2 linked regions of the Neodiprion lecontei genome follow. The protein of the gene in region 2 purifies or fractionates together with the protein of the main gene of each other region. This does not show direct contact. Links are inferred from orthologs where the notes say so. Each region holds a gene or a part of one and is shown on either strand. Other genes may lie near its edges. The genes, in order: ribonucleases P/MRP protein subunit POP1 and ribonuclease P protein subunit p29.

What was found.
Region 1: the proteins of ribonuclease P protein subunit p29 (region 2) and ribonucleases P/MRP protein subunit POP1 purify together in Homo sapiens (affinity purification with mass spectrometry; 5 studies listed by BioGRID and IntAct, counting the BioPlex papers as one, with this or other methods). This does not show direct contact. The link is inferred for Neodiprion lecontei from reciprocal best matches to the Homo sapiens genes POP4 and POP1.

What each region holds. Positions count from the first base shown.
Region 1 is NC_060264.1:26,746,551-26,755,964, reverse strand, and holds ribonucleases P/MRP protein subunit POP1, read left to right. Parts: upstream 1-3,709; 5' UTR 3,710-3,949; coding exon 3,950-4,073; intron 4,074-4,354; coding exon 4,355-5,809; intron 5,810-6,038; coding exon 6,039-7,084; 3' UTR 7,085-7,571; downstream 7,572-9,414. Other genes in the region: FAM172 family protein homolog CG10038, read right to left, coding at 1-83, 250-365, 534-657; 2-iminobutanoate/2-iminopropanoate deaminase, read right to left, coding at 1,150-1,227, 1,546-1,601, 1,697-1,765, 2,034-2,194, 3,366-3,433; acyl-protein thioesterase 1, read right to left, coding at 8,834-8,881, 9,020-9,184, 9,260-9,414. UniProt on the Homo sapiens protein: Component of ribonuclease P, a ribonucleoprotein complex that generates mature tRNA molecules by cleaving their 5'-ends. Also a component of the MRP ribonuclease complex, which cleaves pre-rRNA sequences.
Region 2 is NC_060262.1:35,013,202-35,021,600, forward strand, and holds ribonuclease P protein subunit p29, read right to left. Parts: upstream 5,348-8,399; 5' UTR 5,147-5,347; coding exon 5,095-5,146; exon of another isoform or gene 4,951-5,094; coding exon of another isoform or gene 4,944-4,950; intron 4,855-4,943; coding exon 4,715-4,854; intron 4,644-4,714; coding exon 4,253-4,643; intron 3,959-4,252; coding exon 3,822-3,958; 3' UTR 2,389-3,821; downstream 1-2,388. Other genes in the region: clathrin heavy chain, read left to right, coding at 1-182, 262-824, 902-1,124, 1,269-1,344, 1,553-1,686; required for meiotic nuclear division protein 1 homolog, read right to left, coding at 5,889-6,083, 6,277-6,634, 6,772-6,991; glutathione synthetase, read right to left, coding at 8,358-8,399. UniProt on the Homo sapiens protein: Component of ribonuclease P, a ribonucleoprotein complex that generates mature tRNA molecules by cleaving their 5'-ends.

The sequences.
Region 1 (9,414 bases), on a different chromosome or scaffold from region 2:
GCCTTTGACGACGCCTCCTTCGGCACGAACAATTTTTTCAGACCTTCTTTCTCTAGGAGGTCATAGATGTGCAAATCAATTACCTGCAACAGTAAACTTTGCTCAACATTTTTTAAAGCTAAAAAAACAGTGTACTTAATTTTTACTGATACACATTCATCAAGAACCTAGTTATGGGCGAAGCGTCACAATCCTTCGTTTATAAGAGGTATATAATATATATATATTCACTGGATTAAATTCATCTACCTGACCGAGCGCTTCGTATCGTTTCTGATTGTAAGCATGGTCTTCGGTAACGTTAAACTCGAATCCACCGTCAGTAGTGAGGCCGGTGCTTTGATCAAGCTTTCGAAGTTTCCCGCCTGTAAATACAAGATAAGCGACATTTTATTAAGCCCATTAGTTTGCATTTCAGGGCGAAGGGGGGCGCTGTAATCGATCGCAGCGTCGAACGCGCATGGCACGAAACTGTTTATTAACAAATACATGATATGTGACTATCAGATGTAATCAGCCCGTAAAACTCATACCTTCATCAAAAGCGTATCCAAAATCTTTCAGCGTTGTAGGAAATACAGGATCAGTCATTACTGCCAGTTTCGTAAACTCCCAGTTCACAATACTGCTAAAAATGCGACGTATCACCCTAAACATGGGACTGAAAAATACTACAGAAATACAGGCGTGTAGTCTTGCCGCGTTTTTGATTCTCGCAGATCACTTGAGGTAGAGCCACCTCGCGGACGGAATCGCCACACCAGCTCCTATCGCATGCTCAACATGTTTGACGACGTTACCGACGATACTTGGGTGCGTGGTGTTTGTCAGGTTGCTTGCGATCATTTGTAAAATGTGGCATCTGAAACACTCATTTCGAATCTCATTGCGCGGCATGAGGATTGAGGATTTTGTGAGAAATGTTTCCCTATAACGGGGGAAAAAATTCCCAAAACTTACAGTACATACATCATTTTTGTTATTAGAATGATTATTATCGTTATTGTTGTTGATCTTTTTTTTTTTTGTATACAGTTTATTACTTTTTCTTGGAACTACGAAATGCAGAAAAATAAAGCCTAGGAAGATGACGTTCGAAAAAATTCTGCGTCAGATTTTCCTCCATATTCAGAGCTTTGCTGATTTCAGTCAACTGGCACTTGAAGACCCACCGACCGTTTTCACTTCACCAGTCAATGCAATTGCCTCGATTTCAACCTTCGCCCCCTGAAAACGAGTGATCGCACTTTTTGTTAATTTTCATGAATCTACCTTGATTATGAATCATGAATTCATGATCGGTTGCACCCCACATTTTTTGAACAATTGGATATTTAGATTAAAGGAATACCGTACAGTAGTACCTGGATTAATCGAATGAACGATTTTTACAGAATCAATTTTTGTCAACCCTAAGAATATCATAACTATGGTATACAATTCTTACCGTTACGGGATACATGTTGTAAAAAGCAAGCATGCTATTTACCGAAAACGAGATAATATTACTCAAACGAGTGACAAATTTTCAAATAAAGATCTTACCAATGGTAGCTTCCCAACCTGGAATGTGGACCTTGCTGGATAATCCTTTGTGAAAACTGTAAAAAAAGCAAATTAAACGACCATTAACTAATTGTCGATTAGAGCATATTTGTGTTTAAAAAAATACTGTTATCAAAATAAACAAACTTACATTCCTTATAAACTTCGTTTACAGCAGAAAAATCATCGATACTGTTGAGCAGGATAGTCGTCTTTATAACTGTAGCAATAAAACATGAGAAATTTTTTAATTTATGGTTTCTCAACTGCTGCCGTATGGTCTCGAAACGAACGACGTATCGCCGGCATACAGGCAATTAGAGTTACATATGAGGTACTCCAACTAGAGGTGAGTAATGTAACTTCGGTTGCCTATCTGCCGGCGAAACACCGTTCGCGTCGAGATCGGTCACCGAAAACTGATTGTATTTTATAATTATCTTTGTATTGAGCGGTTACATATTTAATGTAAAGTAATAGATAAAAACCTTTCTCAAAGTCGGAACCCGCCTCCTTTAAAATACACCCCATATTGACGAGTGCCTGACGAGCTTCTCCGGCTGCCCCACCATCGACCAGCTTCCCAGAATCCTTATCAAGCCCAAGTACTCCAGAAAGATAAACGGTTCGGTCGACTAGGACAGCTTGACTATTAACAATAAGAAAAACAATGATTAGTATCTCAAAAAAAATTTGCAAGTGGAACAAAAAATTTTGATTTTTGTTACGTGCATCACCAATGTTTGAGCAATACAATTATCAACGTAGCATTGTTATCTACACACCGATATGCAGTAAATGGCGTGCAGAAAAGGAAAAATAGTGAGATAACTAAACATCATATTTAGACGTATCCGTTCTTAATAAAGAACAAGTAATGACAATAATTTGGCAGAAATCAAATAAACTGTATTGAATATATGTAATGTAAGTAATATGATATTGATATTCATTTTAATTCTTTTTATTTGTGATCGAAAACAGATTATTGATGCGCTTTTCGCACCGGAGTCGTCCGTAAGATGTGAATACTATGTATTATAAGAAATCGTAACTTGCACGATCAGTAAATGAATAACGAAAAACATTCGTTAGGTAAACATAGAGGTATCCTGATATTTTAACTCACTTATAAGGGCCAACGGGTTTAGGCGCTGCTGGACAAGTAATAATTTTCCGTATTATAGACGCCATGTTCTTTCAGGGCAAACCGCAGTACACTAAGAGTATAAGCGACTGACCGGCTTTCTCCAATACCGAATTATCTTTTTATTTGTATAGAGGTATAATTCAATCAGTCGTACATATACGTCCGCGCATGCATGTGGAATATATACATTTTTCAAGTAGTGTTATGTATTCGTGCACGATTGTGTGCAGCTCACAAGCATTGTAAATGACGACGTTTGATACACTCTGTGAACTATGACCTGTGTGCAATGGCAGTGGCGTACACATTCAGCTATGCTAGTGAACGTACAGCAATTAGTAAAGCTACTAATACCACGTGATGGAACAAATTATCAGCTATCAAATATCGGCATATTTCTGGAGTGCTTGCGAATTGATTCGTATAATTCAACATGTCCGTACAGAATTCTTCCATCCCGAAATATCACAAATTAAATTTGAAAGATATGTCATATGATGAACTATCTCAGCTCCATAACTTCATGAGTGTATGTTAAACTTTGTAGAAAAACTTTTTGAGAGAAATCTCGACCCCTAAAATTTTAGACAAATATAAGTGACTGAGATTTTGTCTGTCCTTGTTTTAGTCTTTGATTTCTTTATTAAAGTGCGCTGTAATTACGACTCACTTATATGGTCCGGCCGATTTTGGTGCCCTTGTAGTTGATATAATTTTTCGAATAATTTTCATCGCCATTATTACTGTATGATATACGCAATATTGTCAACCTTAGGTATGAGGTTCGTCGCGTAAGCTAGTACGGTGATATAATGATGACTGATTCGGACGGAGTCGCAATTTTCAATACGCGCAAATTGTAACGTAATATTCTGCTATTGTTCGTGCGTATCATTTATTTCTATTCATGTTATCAGTTCAAAAGAAAAATCGAAGGCCGATCAATGATCAACATTCCTAACACTGCAATTCCAATACTGGAGATTGTGAATAACTACGCAGACATGAGAAACTAGAACTGTAATTTTCTTGCCTGCGCCTTAGTGTTAGACATCTAGGTATACACCAGAACAACATACACACGTGGTCGAAGATGAATGATACTCTTTCTGTCACGTGGTTCGAGCAAGACTGAACATAACCTCAAATCAAATTTCGAAATATCGGCTCGTAGTGTTCGTTGGAAGGTACAAATGCTTGGATCAGAATCCAATTACAATTTCTCGTACAAGAATTGTCACGGAAACTTCAAGTATGGCGGAAAAGGCTCAATTCGACATATTCCTCGGTGGATCCCAGGAATTACCTCCCGAAGCACATATCATGAAACTGGCATCGGCGAGAGCGAATGAAATCGCCGCGATGACTTATTCCATAGGTAAAATATTTTCCCGTCCATTATAAAATAAACCTAACCTAATCTAGATATTGTTCCCTCTCCAATTCCTGCTTTTGTTTAAATGTCTCTGGTGCTTCATAATTCAGCCACCTTGACATGGAATATGTATCTTTCCCGGATGTATACCCAGGTTTTTCTTTCTTTTATTTCGTCCCTCATTTCCCCAACAATGCCATTAACTTGATAATACTTGAGAGTGTTAATTGCGCGGGAATTTTGAATTTTTATTGAAGAATGACCATTATGCCTTGATATTGCAGATAATCCTCAACAGACAAAATTAATATTCCAAAAACTACCGATGCATATGCGTCGCAGAATAATGTCCCACAATGCAAAGCGTATGCCAAGGAGACTACGAGAGATGCATATTCACCAAATGTCAAAGTCAGGTTTGCCACCCAAAACAAAAAGACCCTCCCGAAAGTACCGGCGAAGGCCACAGAACCTGATCGCAGAGTACAAGCGTAGGCAGGTAAAGAATGCCTGGCTTGAAACACACGTGTGGCACGCAAAAAGGTTTCACATGGTTGAAAAATGGGGTCACAGGCTCCCTGAGCACTCAAATGATCGCAGTTTTAGAGCGAGTTACAGAGCAGTAGCAAAACACTGCCTGCTACAGGACATATCTTACTATTCTTGCATTCAGCTAACTGGACCGATTAATGCGCTGAAAAAAATGCTCAAGAATCACTGCGATCCTGGCAACCTGAGCTTCACAGCAAAATCCTATATCCAGGGTAGCAGGGAGGGGAATCTTATGTTCTACAGGAAGAACGGATATCCAACATCACCTGTGGGAACTGTAGAGTTCATATGGAGGCCTGGTAACTCTGAACTAAAAACATTATGGATGTGGGCGCATCCTGCATTTTATCAGCTAATATTGTCGGAGATTTGTAACAGCTTCAAGTTTAATCTTGAGTCTCCGTGCCATTCCTCAGATTCAGAGTATTCGGGTGCTGATAATTGCAGATTAGTATTACTGAAGAATTCCTTGAACAGGTTCAGACTTTGCGGTCCATTGAGTCTGGCAGTGCTCACGACTGCCCTACGTCTGCCAGAGATAGGAAAAATTCTTGACGAAGTGAGAAAATCTGAGGGAGAAGGAGATGAAGTGAAGTCACATACTACCATGGAAACAGATTCACCAAAATGTGGTGATTCGGATAGTGATGTTGAAATCGTTCAGGTTTCTAAGAAGGAAATTGAACCAATGGACGTCGAGAGCAATACTCGTATTGATAGAGATGACAACAACGAATCACTTGAGACTACTGCCCGATCATGGTATTCGGAGTATTATAGGGACTCAGAGAACATTCAGTCACTGCAAGTTCAAAAAGAGGTTTTTGAACATCTGAGGGATCTTAATTCACCCAACCAGCTTCCCCCATGTGCAGTTATGGCTTTCACAGTTTTGGATCCAAGATATTTCGTCCCGACTAAACGAAATAAAGCGCAGACAAATGCAAGGACCATTGAGACGATTCCTGTTCCTCCCACACTTATTAATGTTAGTGCAATATGGGAACCCAGAATCAGAAAATCATCGGTGAAAAACTTCAAGACTACAAATGAAATAAACAAACTGAGAAGTGAAAATTTAGTTCCCGGTATTGGCAATGACGATAAATATGACCAAAGCTATATTGCCAAAGTACCTATTCTTCTTATTCAGAGGCCTGGATGCGGCTATGGAGAAAAAAGTCTTGGTAAGCCATGCAAATTGCATTCATTCCATCGTTATTTAAAATTTATCTAGTCATTCTGGATGTAGTTATGACAGTTTTTGAGAATGTGACTTGTGAGCTTCTAGTATTATAACAGAAAGACTGAAAGGCAAGTAAAAATTTAAGTCCCAAGTGTATTTCTTCTATCAAACTCAAATTTTGAATTGGCATTTCAAATATTCGATTGTTTAACTGGATTAATTATTTTCAGGATTCAGTTCTGGAATCGACGTAATTTTACCATCTGGTTGGGCAACTCCGTTTTGGATCTCGTTTATTTTTCGTTGTGCCAAACCAGGAGGTTTGAGGGAATCAACATCAATTATATTTGAAAATCTTAGGTTGAATTCGCCTGATTTTAATCCGCCAGATACAGAAGCATACATAAAAGAAGCTTCAGAAAGAAAGACTAGTCTAATGGAAAAGTATTTCAGATATCCTCCAAACAGGAGATCAAATTACGTGAAACTTGGTATTTCTAGTCCGTTCTATTGCGAGTGGAATTTACTTATCAAGGAATGGACAGATATGGCAACGTTCTATGTACTCAGAGATAAGAAACTGCTTCATTTAATACAAGAAAATATCTCTCATCAATTACCATTGAACCGGCATAAGAAGTATCAACAGCTTTGTGAATCAAGTTTCGACAAAACTGTGTTCAAAGACACTAATACGTTAATAACTGTAAAGATTGTCATAGAAAGCAAAGGGTGTCCCAGAGATTTTGCCATAATCTGCTTACCCCTCTCTGAGGATTTAGAAAAATTGGGCCAAAAAAGAACCTGGGAAGGGCCTGTAGCTAAGCTAAGAAAAGACCCCAACGAATCGATTAGAAAAACTTTGAGAAGGGGTCACTTGGCGCTATTGAAACGTTTGAGAAGACAAAGAGTAAAACAGCGGATTAAAATGGAGAGTAGTGATCACAGATCGGTTGAGCCAAAGCCCAGTTCCAGCATTGCGATGTCTAAAATAATTTCGCGAAAAAAGGCTCAAAGTATTGTTGACCTGCAGGCTGAAAAGATGAAGAATCTCTATTTGCCAAATTGCAAAACGATACGAAACTCTTGCGATCGAGAAGTTATGGGATACGTGGTTAAAGGAGACTTCAGTTTTACCGAATCAAAGGGAATCGGACTGGGATACGTAACACTTCCCTCTCTGTTTAGCCTAATTAAGCAGAAAAGTAACGTAGTTCTGATCAGAAACACAAGATCTAGACAATACAGACTCGCCAGACTTAGTATACTGACATGAATAACTATTGACCTGTAAATATATTGTGAATGATCAATTAACTTCAGGAGAGTAACGTACAAATGTATATAAATCAACGATTTCTTCTGGAAATTCTTAAATAGCGCATCAAGGTAATTGTAGAAACCATTTGAATGTGGCTCTAAGAGATTTATTTGAATACCTTATTTTGCTAAAACTATTACATTGTGACAGGCTATGCGCTAATTATTATGTTTCATAAATAAAATTATCGCCTACCATAGACGGAAGTATATAGTATATTGGGAAAAGAATCATGATTTTTAAAGTGTAGAAGAAGAGAGTCCAAATTCTCATCAGTTATTTGCCAGTGCGATGTACAAACAATAAACGAACTGGCAGTTCTTGTCATTTGATATTATTATTACCAGTAGTTTCCCATTGCACGTTGAGCAATTGAAATTAAATCAACAAAGTAGACTTTTCCCGTTTACAAATCTAATGAAATAAAAGCCCGTGTTTAACAGGGCGTTTTAAAAAATCGTGCCTTCGTTTTATTTATGATTTTTATTTTATTATTTCGATCTTATATTCGCACATAGACATGTACGTACATGCAATAAAATACACAGGTACGCCTACATGTTACTATTTTATATCTACTAGTGCTTTCATTATTATTTTTTCTTCGTTTTGCCAGCAAAACTTAGCAGTCGTACTGTATACCTATTGCTACTATACAAGGTATTTGAAAGATAATACTTTTTTAACCACAATAAACAGTAATAACCCCGTGCTGGCGCTGTGAATCTATATCAGAAAACTTTGATCCAATTAACAGTAAGATTGCTATGTAGCAACTTTATTTAATGGTTCCAATGAGCATACTTCGAAATAAATTAAATAAGTACTGTAAAAATATATACTTTAGGTCTGAAAAACCTTCACCTTTGAATATCATTTTAAGAATTAGCAGGACTGCTGGTGGTGACCAAGCTATTTTGAAAAGTATTCGTTAATTTCTGTAAGTGAATATGTGTAGTTTCTAACACCGATTATAAGAAAGCATGGGGAAAAAGAGTCGAGGAATTCTTGCAAGTTTTTCGTTAACAAGATAATCAAAACAAGGTATTAATGAATAAATTTGGAAAGTAGTTTGTAAAACTTTGAGTAAGTTTAATGAAAAAAATTAACTAAATTGTTAGATGGGTACACATTACCTATATTAATTAATAAATGGAAAGATTAAACCGAGGTTTCGAGGCCAGAAAGCTTTTGCTCAATTGCTAGGATATTCTAATTATTTGACCTATGACAGGTATCTTTTTTAACTATAATACAGTGGGGTATATTTTAACAGGATCGTTTTATTTCATTACATTAAATAGTTCTGCGATTACTAAATCGACTCTTTAATTAAATTCAATTCTAAATTTGTTCTTCGTTAGAATAATTTTCTCAAATTTACATTCACGAATGTAAATTGCACGTTTTTCTTTTTTATTGCAACGTGTTAATAAAACGTCAAATTTTGAAGTAGCCAGTTTTCTACTGAATAGAATGGTAGCAATTACCATACCTGTCGACTACAATTCATTTTCGTATTGGTTTTTGATGTTTCCTATTCCATTTGTTTTTCTTCCCTAGTATGTTTAATTAACGACTAAAAATAACGTAGCATTGGAATTATTGATTTTATTTATAATATTCATCACTCTCAATAATAATACCAATAATAGTGATTATATTATTAGTACCATCATTAATTGATACAATTAATTTAGTTTATTATGGCTTGAGAACTTTTTCAACGAACATCTTCATATCGCGCATCTCCTGAAAATTTCAATCGCACGGAATCAATTGATTTCTCATGCTCAAACCTGTAGTACAACTATCTTCAATAAGCTGCACAGATTAAACATCGCGTGGAAAAATAGTAATACATAAAAAAACAAAAAATGGGATACTCACATCGTCGCAAGATGTGTGCATCATTCCTCGATACGTTTTAAACTCTGTATTGGTCATGAACTGCTTCAACAACGATGCAGTCATCTGGCCCCACTTGTATGGAACAATTGGATCGCAATCACCGTGGCACTGCAGCAACGGGACATTTTTATTGCCAACCGCACTCTGGAACAAGATGTAAGAAATGCACTGTGCAACTGCAGCTGATATAGCATCGTATTGCAATTTCTTTCAACATACGGCGGGGAACCTCTGATGCAAAGGGAGCCAAGCTGATAAAGCTATGACGCCTGCTAGAGGCTCTGGAAACGTGAGTGCACTATACATCGCCAGAGCTCCACCTTGACTAAATCCTCCGATAACGATTCTCTTCGTTGGTATACCAGCTGCGACCT
Region 2 (8,399 bases):
TCAAATATTATCAAGATCGCGGACACTTTGAAGAACTCATCAATCTATTGGAGGCTGCGTTAGGTTTGGAGAGGGCTCACATGGGAATGTTCACAGAACTTGCTATTCTATACAGCAAGTACAAGCCACAACGGATGCGTGAGCATCTCGACCTCTTCTGGTCTCGTGTGAACATACCGAAGGTAATTTACTGTAAATTAGAATTTGAAATAAAAATATCAACTTATAAGTATAAGTATTCATATTCGAACAATTACACAGGTATTGCGCGCGGCGGAACAAGCTCATTTATGGGCGGAGCTTGTATTCTTGTATGACAAATATGAAGAATTTGATAACGCGGTACTAGCAATGATGCAGCATCCAACAGAAGCGTGGCGCGAAGGTCATTTCAAAGATGTGATCACCAAGGTAGCTAATGTGGAATTGTATTACAAGGCGATCCAATTCTACGTAGAATACAAGCCACTATTGCTGAATGATGTTCTACTTGTCCTTGCACCAAGAATGGATCATACAAGAGCGGTTGCTTACTTCACTCGTACAGGACATTTGCAACTTGTGAAGCCTTATCTTAGATCGGTCCAATCTTTGAACAACAAAGCTATAAATGAAGCATTGAATGGTCTTCTCATTGACGAGGAAGATTATCAAGGTTTGAGGACGTCAATAGACGCTTTTGATAACTTTGATAACATTGCTCTCGCTCAGCAGCTTGAGAAACACGAGCTAATCGAGTTTAGAAGGATTGCGGCGTACCTGTACAAAGGCAATAACAGATGGAAACAATCGGTTGAACTTTGCAAAAAAGACAGGCTATTCCGGTGAGAGGCTGCTTCAGTTTGAAATATTTTTGTTAACCCTGTAGTTGCTACATTTTGAAAGCTTCACTAAATTTTAGAGATGCTATGGAGTATGCTGCGGAGTCTAGGAATGCAGAGGTAGCTGAGGAACTGCTAGAATGGTTCTTAGAGAGAGGATCAAAAGATTGTTTTGCAGCTTGCCTCTTCTACTGTTACGACTTGCTTCATCCCGATGTAATTTTGGAACTTGCCTGGAGGCACAGAATCCTTCACTTCGCAATGCCTTATCTAATTCAAGTTGCCCGAGAGTACATCACCAAGGTATTGTAGCATTGAAACTATTTCCATGAAAATTATAAAAACAGCTCATCAGTTTAAACAAATACTATTATGTACGTCACTCACATTTTTTTTTTTTTTTTTGTCTTTTTGTTTTGTGATTTTCATTTGTAATCCCTCGTTTAGGTTGATAAACTCGAAGAAGCTGAAAGCCAGCGCTTGGAAGAAACAGATCAACAGGAGCACAAACCAATGATCATGCGTAAGTGTTAATTTAATTTAATTTAAATGATTTGAAATGGTAAGTTCATGTGTTCTGGTATTTAAACGCTCCTTTTTTCTAAAAAATTGTTAATACTTGTACACGATTCTTATTGATATCAATGAAATGTAATTTTGTATCGGGAAGTTTTTCAAATTAATGGTAGGTGTCAAAAATATTTGTAAAATACGCTATAATTTAATTACAGCTGAGCCACAGTTGATGTTGACAGCAGGACCAGGAATGATGGCACCAGGTTACGCACCTCAAAGTGTTTATGCACCTCCGGGTCAAGGAGTTTATGCACCTCCTACTGCAGCCTATCAGGGCTACGGTATGTGAGACACATTTCACAACACGTTCCACAATGATCAACAATACCTACTTTTCTATAAGGTTTAGCTAGAGCAAGGTTCCATTAATATTGATACGTTACAGTCAACCGTCAGAAATCTGCTGTCTGACAAATATCTTGCAATGTCAAGCTAGTAGTTGTAAAGGAAAAAAGAATTCAATGAAGGAGAAAATTAATAAACTAGTAAAACTAGAAACATGTATTCTATAAAACATCATCTACCGCTGTAATAATTGTCAACTATTCAATCTCAAAAAACGTCTCATGTAAAAAAAAAAAAAAAAAAAAATGAAAAATAATTATTAATACAGTTATTCCTAAAAAAAAGCATTTTGTGGGCGCAACAAAAATTAGTATTAATTAGAGGATTTATGAATAATTGAAAAAATAAAGTATATAATATGTATATGGTATGTTCATTAGGCTGCTTTACATAATTGAGTAACAATAGTATCGAATTGACAATTTACCGGGGCAATCAAGAACGTTGAGGGGGGCTATAATTATATGTCCTTGACATATCCGCAGTTGTTTAATGGCAGAATTTTTTACATGGCTATTAAAAAAATGATATGCCCGAAGTAATGACACGATTTAAAAATCGTTCCGAATTATTTAATAAGCTCCAGTTTACGCTGTGCTAACAGTTGATCTGAATACAATAGGCTTAAAATTTTTTAAGGAAAGTGTCTTCCTTAATAATCGGAATTGCATGGATGACAGGAGCAAGAATATCAATTGATTTTTAAATGATGTTAATACTGCGATAGCATTTGTCCACCACACTTCAATAGCAATCATTTAACCTGTAAAAAAAATGTTGAATTAACATTTTATTGATGATTCATAGAAATAGTGGCTGATTTGTCATTTAAATTAAATTCGGAAGCTACCGTTCTATAGTAGCTGAATAAATATTTACAGTGGTACGTCGCAAAATACCTATCTTTTGCCAGCATACTGTGTACGTTTAACTGATCCGTTGAAAAGTGTACTGACGGCATGATTAACACGTTGATTATTTGGAAAAAAATTGTTTCAATAAGTTATACGCCTTAACGTAACGCAGTGATAATTGTAGATTGCCCCTGATTATTGAATGGGACAGTGAACACGTAACACGAGTCTGATTCGGTGGGTATATGAACATTAATCCAAATCTCATGACAAGAGCATCGTTATTAATTATTAACTGCATGTTGAGGGATGCTTTAAACTCAAATACACTAATTATTTCTCGTGAGGGATCGATTAGGGTAGAATTCTTAGTTGCGTTTCTGATTCTTCAGGCCTGTGTAATTGGTTTACTGATCCTTTAAATTATGGTAAATAAATTGTAAGAATTCGTTAGGAACTGGTGGTGCGTGCGAAAGGTACGCGACAATCCCAAAACTCCATCATTGCACTTATCTTTTCAACATAGCTAAATCAAATTGATCGTGAATGAAATTTTTGGAAATGAAGTGGTTAGTGATTTATTATTTGAATAAGGATTTAACCAATCCGCATCGCAAATTGTTATTATAATATCATGATTATTTGAATATTTTGAAATACTATTATAACTAATTATTGCAAAAAGCAAACAAAAAAGCAAGGATTATTAGTAATTATACATATATATTATAAATATATAATTATATTATTATATATTATATTGGTATTTAGTGTAACATGTAAGTAGTAGACAAAAATATGATATGAATTAATATTATTGAAAAAAAAAAAAATGAATAAATGATACAAAAGGTAATTATCGAGAATGGATGATCGAAGAACTGGATTGCATTCAATTGTTTTTGCTGTAAGATATAACAACTGTGTCAAGTGGATATGCACAGTGAGAAATAAACAAATGCCTGTTTGACGAACATATTTTCATTTTCTTATCATACACATTCCCATATTAATTAACCAGTAACAAATGATATTCGTCACTAAACATTTTTTATAAAAATTATAAAAAAATTAAAAATTAAAATGCACAACGTACTTGTTAAAGATACAATTTTATGCACGTATCTCTTGACTATGGGAAAGCCTCATTTGTGATATTTGATAAGTCATTAAAAGTACTCAAGAAAATTTTAGCAATATTTGTATTTTCATAATCGTAATTATGTTATAAATCAGGTACACGAGCACTTTTAAATTTTTTCACTGATCTCTCAGCAGGTCTGACACACAACTCTCTGCCAAACAATTGTAAATTCACATTGCCCAAACATATCTTGAATACAGCTGTGTCTTTTGGAATTGCTACAAGAAAAAAAAGCGTTAATATTTTCATGATGGTTTACAGAAAGCAACTTTAAAATCTTTCATTGTATACTGCTAATCGCATATCTTTTCTTATCCCTTTTCGTTCTCATCGAATAATATACTTAAGTGCATGTAACTAATGAGGATGTCTTAACATTTTTTTGTAGGCTTGTGCAAATTTTGTATGCATGGTAACTTTAGGCACAAATCTTGATAAATTATTCAATAAAAATCAGAAGTTTTGTTTCCAATAGAATTAGATTTCAATGCTAAAATTCAGAGTTGTCTTACTTCGGATAATACTATCCTCTCCAATAACTCTGAAGGTACATTTAGTGTCTTGCAATACAATGCCATGAATGCCTACCAAACTTGGGCATTTAGATCTAATGACAACAATTTTTGCTCCATGGAAGTCAGCCTTTAGCAATTGTTGACCAATGTTGTCCCAATTTGGTTCGACTGGTCCTTGCGGTAAATCAGTGAAATTGTTAACACCAAGCATTTGTCGCATGTATTCTAGCCACAGCTGGTTCAATGCTAATGCATCAACGTATTTCAAGTTAATCCTGTTATCCAATTTATTTAAGCCAAGTTCTGATCTTTTTCTGGCTGTTAAAAATGTTACCTTCTTTGGTTTACGGCGAACATGCTTTGTTCTGTATTTGTTGAAAGTGAATGTCTGAAAAGTGAAAAATGTTAAAAGATGACTGATGAATGGAACAAAGGAAGTAAAATTTTTATTCTTATTACCTTTTTCAATTCTTCATTAACTGATTTAGTATCTGAGGGTGGTAAGATATTTTCTAAAAGATTTAAAAGATATTCACTGCGATCCGTCGATGTTGTTGCACGGTTAACCACTGACACTGGAAGTTGAAGACACACGTTGTCTGGAAGAATACAAATTACGGATAGTTGAATCTGAATATGAACAATTCTGTATTGCAGCTAATTAAAACGTTCAACAAAGGCATCTTACCCGACATGGTTTCAATAAATTTTCCGAAGATTCTTGCTGCAATCTAACCTAAACTCACTGTGTTTCCCCTCCCTATAAACTCTCTCTAATTCCTACGATATAAAATCGAAATAAATAATGTGTGATCAAAACTTGAATCACGAATGCCTACCAAAGAACAGAAATGACAGATCATAAGGTCCCACTTGAGTTCTAGTTAGCATAAGCAATCACGAATCAAACGCAGCTGTCACGTGCACATCGCACGCACATGGTAAGTTGACGAGTAATTGACGTTTATGGTTTATAACATGGTGTAGTTTATGACAATTTATAAGAAAGGCAGGAAAGTAAAGTTGGCCTGCAACATAGGAATTTCGTGAAAATTTTTAAGAAATTCGAAGTTCACAGGCTAGCTTCATATACCTAGGTCGATCTGACCTTTGGATCTGACATGCAGCGACACATGTTTACGTTTTCGATTCATCTCGATTTGAAAATTTGAAACATCGAGTCGCCTTAAAAATTCTTTTCGAAAAATATTCATATTCTTGGAATCTGCAGCTATTTCTATCAAAAAATGTATTTAGGGTAGAGAATTTTATTTTTCTACTTTGTTTTTATTTTGTGTAACAGATAACACATGTTACACAGCATTGAAAAGTCAATACGAAAGTTCTCAAAATTAAAATTAGGCAATGCCCCTATAATGCATGAGCCTGATAACTAAAATAAATCTAATCATCATTACAACAGTTTTCAATTCCTTATACATTTGTTTCTCTTATTATTGTAAAGACAACATATGTGGCAAATAACAAATAAGTAACTATTTATACTTTATAAACGCAAATTATCTATATATTTACAGTATTTATAACCTGCTATTGTAGAAATTACTCGCTGAAAATGATATATATATATATATATATATACATAGATATTTTAATTGATATTAGAGTGTAACTAGGAGGTCAACACTTCAGATGTTTGGGGTTGATCGGCAAAATAACGATCGATGTAATGTAGTATTTCAAATACTACCTCAACCATAATTAATACAATTATCATCCATTCTAAACGAACGTGATGACGATCGCTAAGATGGGATGACAAAAGTTCTACAAGTTCAACGCAATGATTCAGTTTCTCATTCATCACCTGTGGACAGAAATCATGTATATTATTCTATATAAAATATTGGTCAGATCCATAATTGAATTTATAATACAAAGGTAATCTAAGATTTCAATTCGAATTCGTTAACAATGGAGAAATGTTTAAGCAGTTTTATATTTCGCTAGTACGAAATTAAATTGATTGACATATTGTGTATTACTATAATTTCACATACCCGAGTACGTTTGGCAATACTGAAATAACTACACGTTTGTTGGAATAAATTTTCCAATTCATCTCTTTCCCAGTAAAAATCTGGGGTATCTAAAAGGTCGGAACTCAAGTTGATCATATGCCTGAGCGCAAATAATTCGCCTTGCTTTCGCAGAACTTCTTCTCTGCTCATTTTTATTGGACGACCAGATTTCAGATCATCAGTAACAAAAGCAATTGAATCCACATAACGGTCTAGTGATGCTTCCCATATGCCAAGTTTGACAGAGAGTGCAATTGCATTTGAGAATGTGTATTTATCCAAGTCTGTGGCATTTGGTGCCAACATGATATTTCCTTCTTTCAAATGGCTCTTTTTACTGTAACGTATACCAAAAATCAGGTTGTCAGGTACATACATTGAGCATCCGTTAATTAGGACTTATATCAATCGGCAATACAAATTGGAATAAAGATCGGCGCAATCAAAAACACTTCAACCATTCTGATATCTTACCTAGATTCTAAATGCGTGTACAGCATTAGTTCACTCTCTGACTGCACCAGTTTATCAGCATAACTATGTTGTTCATAGGATTTCAAGAATCTCAGTAAATTTCCACTTTCAAGTTCTGACATATTCCAAAAAACAACAGTTCCTTCTCGGAAAAAGTAGACTTCACGGGGCTCTGTTTCTACCTCATATTTAGCTACTGCGTGAATCACATCTGGCATTGCTGGAATGTAATAACAAAAAAACATATATTGAACGATTACTAGCAGTCTATGGTTTAGTGGCTTTTTCCTCTTCATAGATAATGCTCTGTTGCAATTCTTTTATTATTCTTCTGCTTTTGCGATATAAATAACATGTGTAAAAAGACTAGGTAAATGTGACATTGTGAATTTTACTTCATTTTTTGGTTCAGCACCCTGTTTTGGTATAGTTCCGAAAAGCCCATACCGATCAATTTGGAATTTCGAATGCCCATGTATTTTGGCTCACTGATCAGAATATGATAGTGAAAATACCCGCCAATTTGATTTTCATGGTCAAAACTCACAAAAATTGATTTTTAAAAAGTTTCTCTATTTTATTCCGATACGCGGTGATCGTAGAAAGAAAAATTTCTACAAAAGCTGTAGCCTATAAAAAGATTGATCTTTTATGTTCTACACAGTTTTTGTCTGAAATCTTTTTTTTTTGGAAAAAATGGGATAATGCTCCAATAAGTACGTTTTGCCAAAAGTCCATTAGTTTCGATTTTTTTTCTATTTACACACTTTACCACTAGGATTGGTGACTATCGCAGACCAAAGGTTAGAATAAGTTGGGTCTCCTTATGACAGATGCATAATAACGTACATATTGAAGCATTATCCTAATTTTCCTGAACGAGAAAATAATTATTTCAAACAAAAACTGTTTGGAACATAGGTATAAGATCAATCTTTTTATACGCTACAAATTTTGTAGAAAACATTTTTTTCTCAGATCAACACTTATCGAAATAACATAGAAAAACTTTTTTTAAATTCGTTTTTGTGAGTTTTGACCGTGAAATTCATATTTGCGGGTATTTTTACTATAACATTCGTGACAAAATTTCAAATTAATTGGATGTATGGGTTCTCAGAACTTTATCCCCCTGTTTATATAACATAAAGACTTATTCCAATATACAATATGACTATAAGTAATAGTAGAAAATATCACACCATAAAGTAAATTTAGACGTATCTAAGAAAAGGATGGTAGGTTAAACTTAGTACGTAGTACAAGTGATCACTCTGGATTACTAGTCCAGAAATATATTATTTTATTACTCCATACTTCTCTGGCGAGTTCCGACAATTGGCTGATTAGGAAGCGTTGGATAAAGTATCATCGAAAATATATTCATATAAATAGAATGTGTGGCACAGGGATGAGTTATTGTCACATTAAATGCTAAATAAGCCTATTCTTCGTATAAAATAATTTTTAGGCGTAAATTACAATCATTTGTCAGATTTTCATCAGTAGTTGTTCTCTTAGTTCTTGACTGCTAAGTACAAAATCAGGTGATAATTAACAACGATGGTATTACATGTGCATTTCAACTAGTCAGTTAAATAGGGACTATCACAAGCCCCTAATCCTGA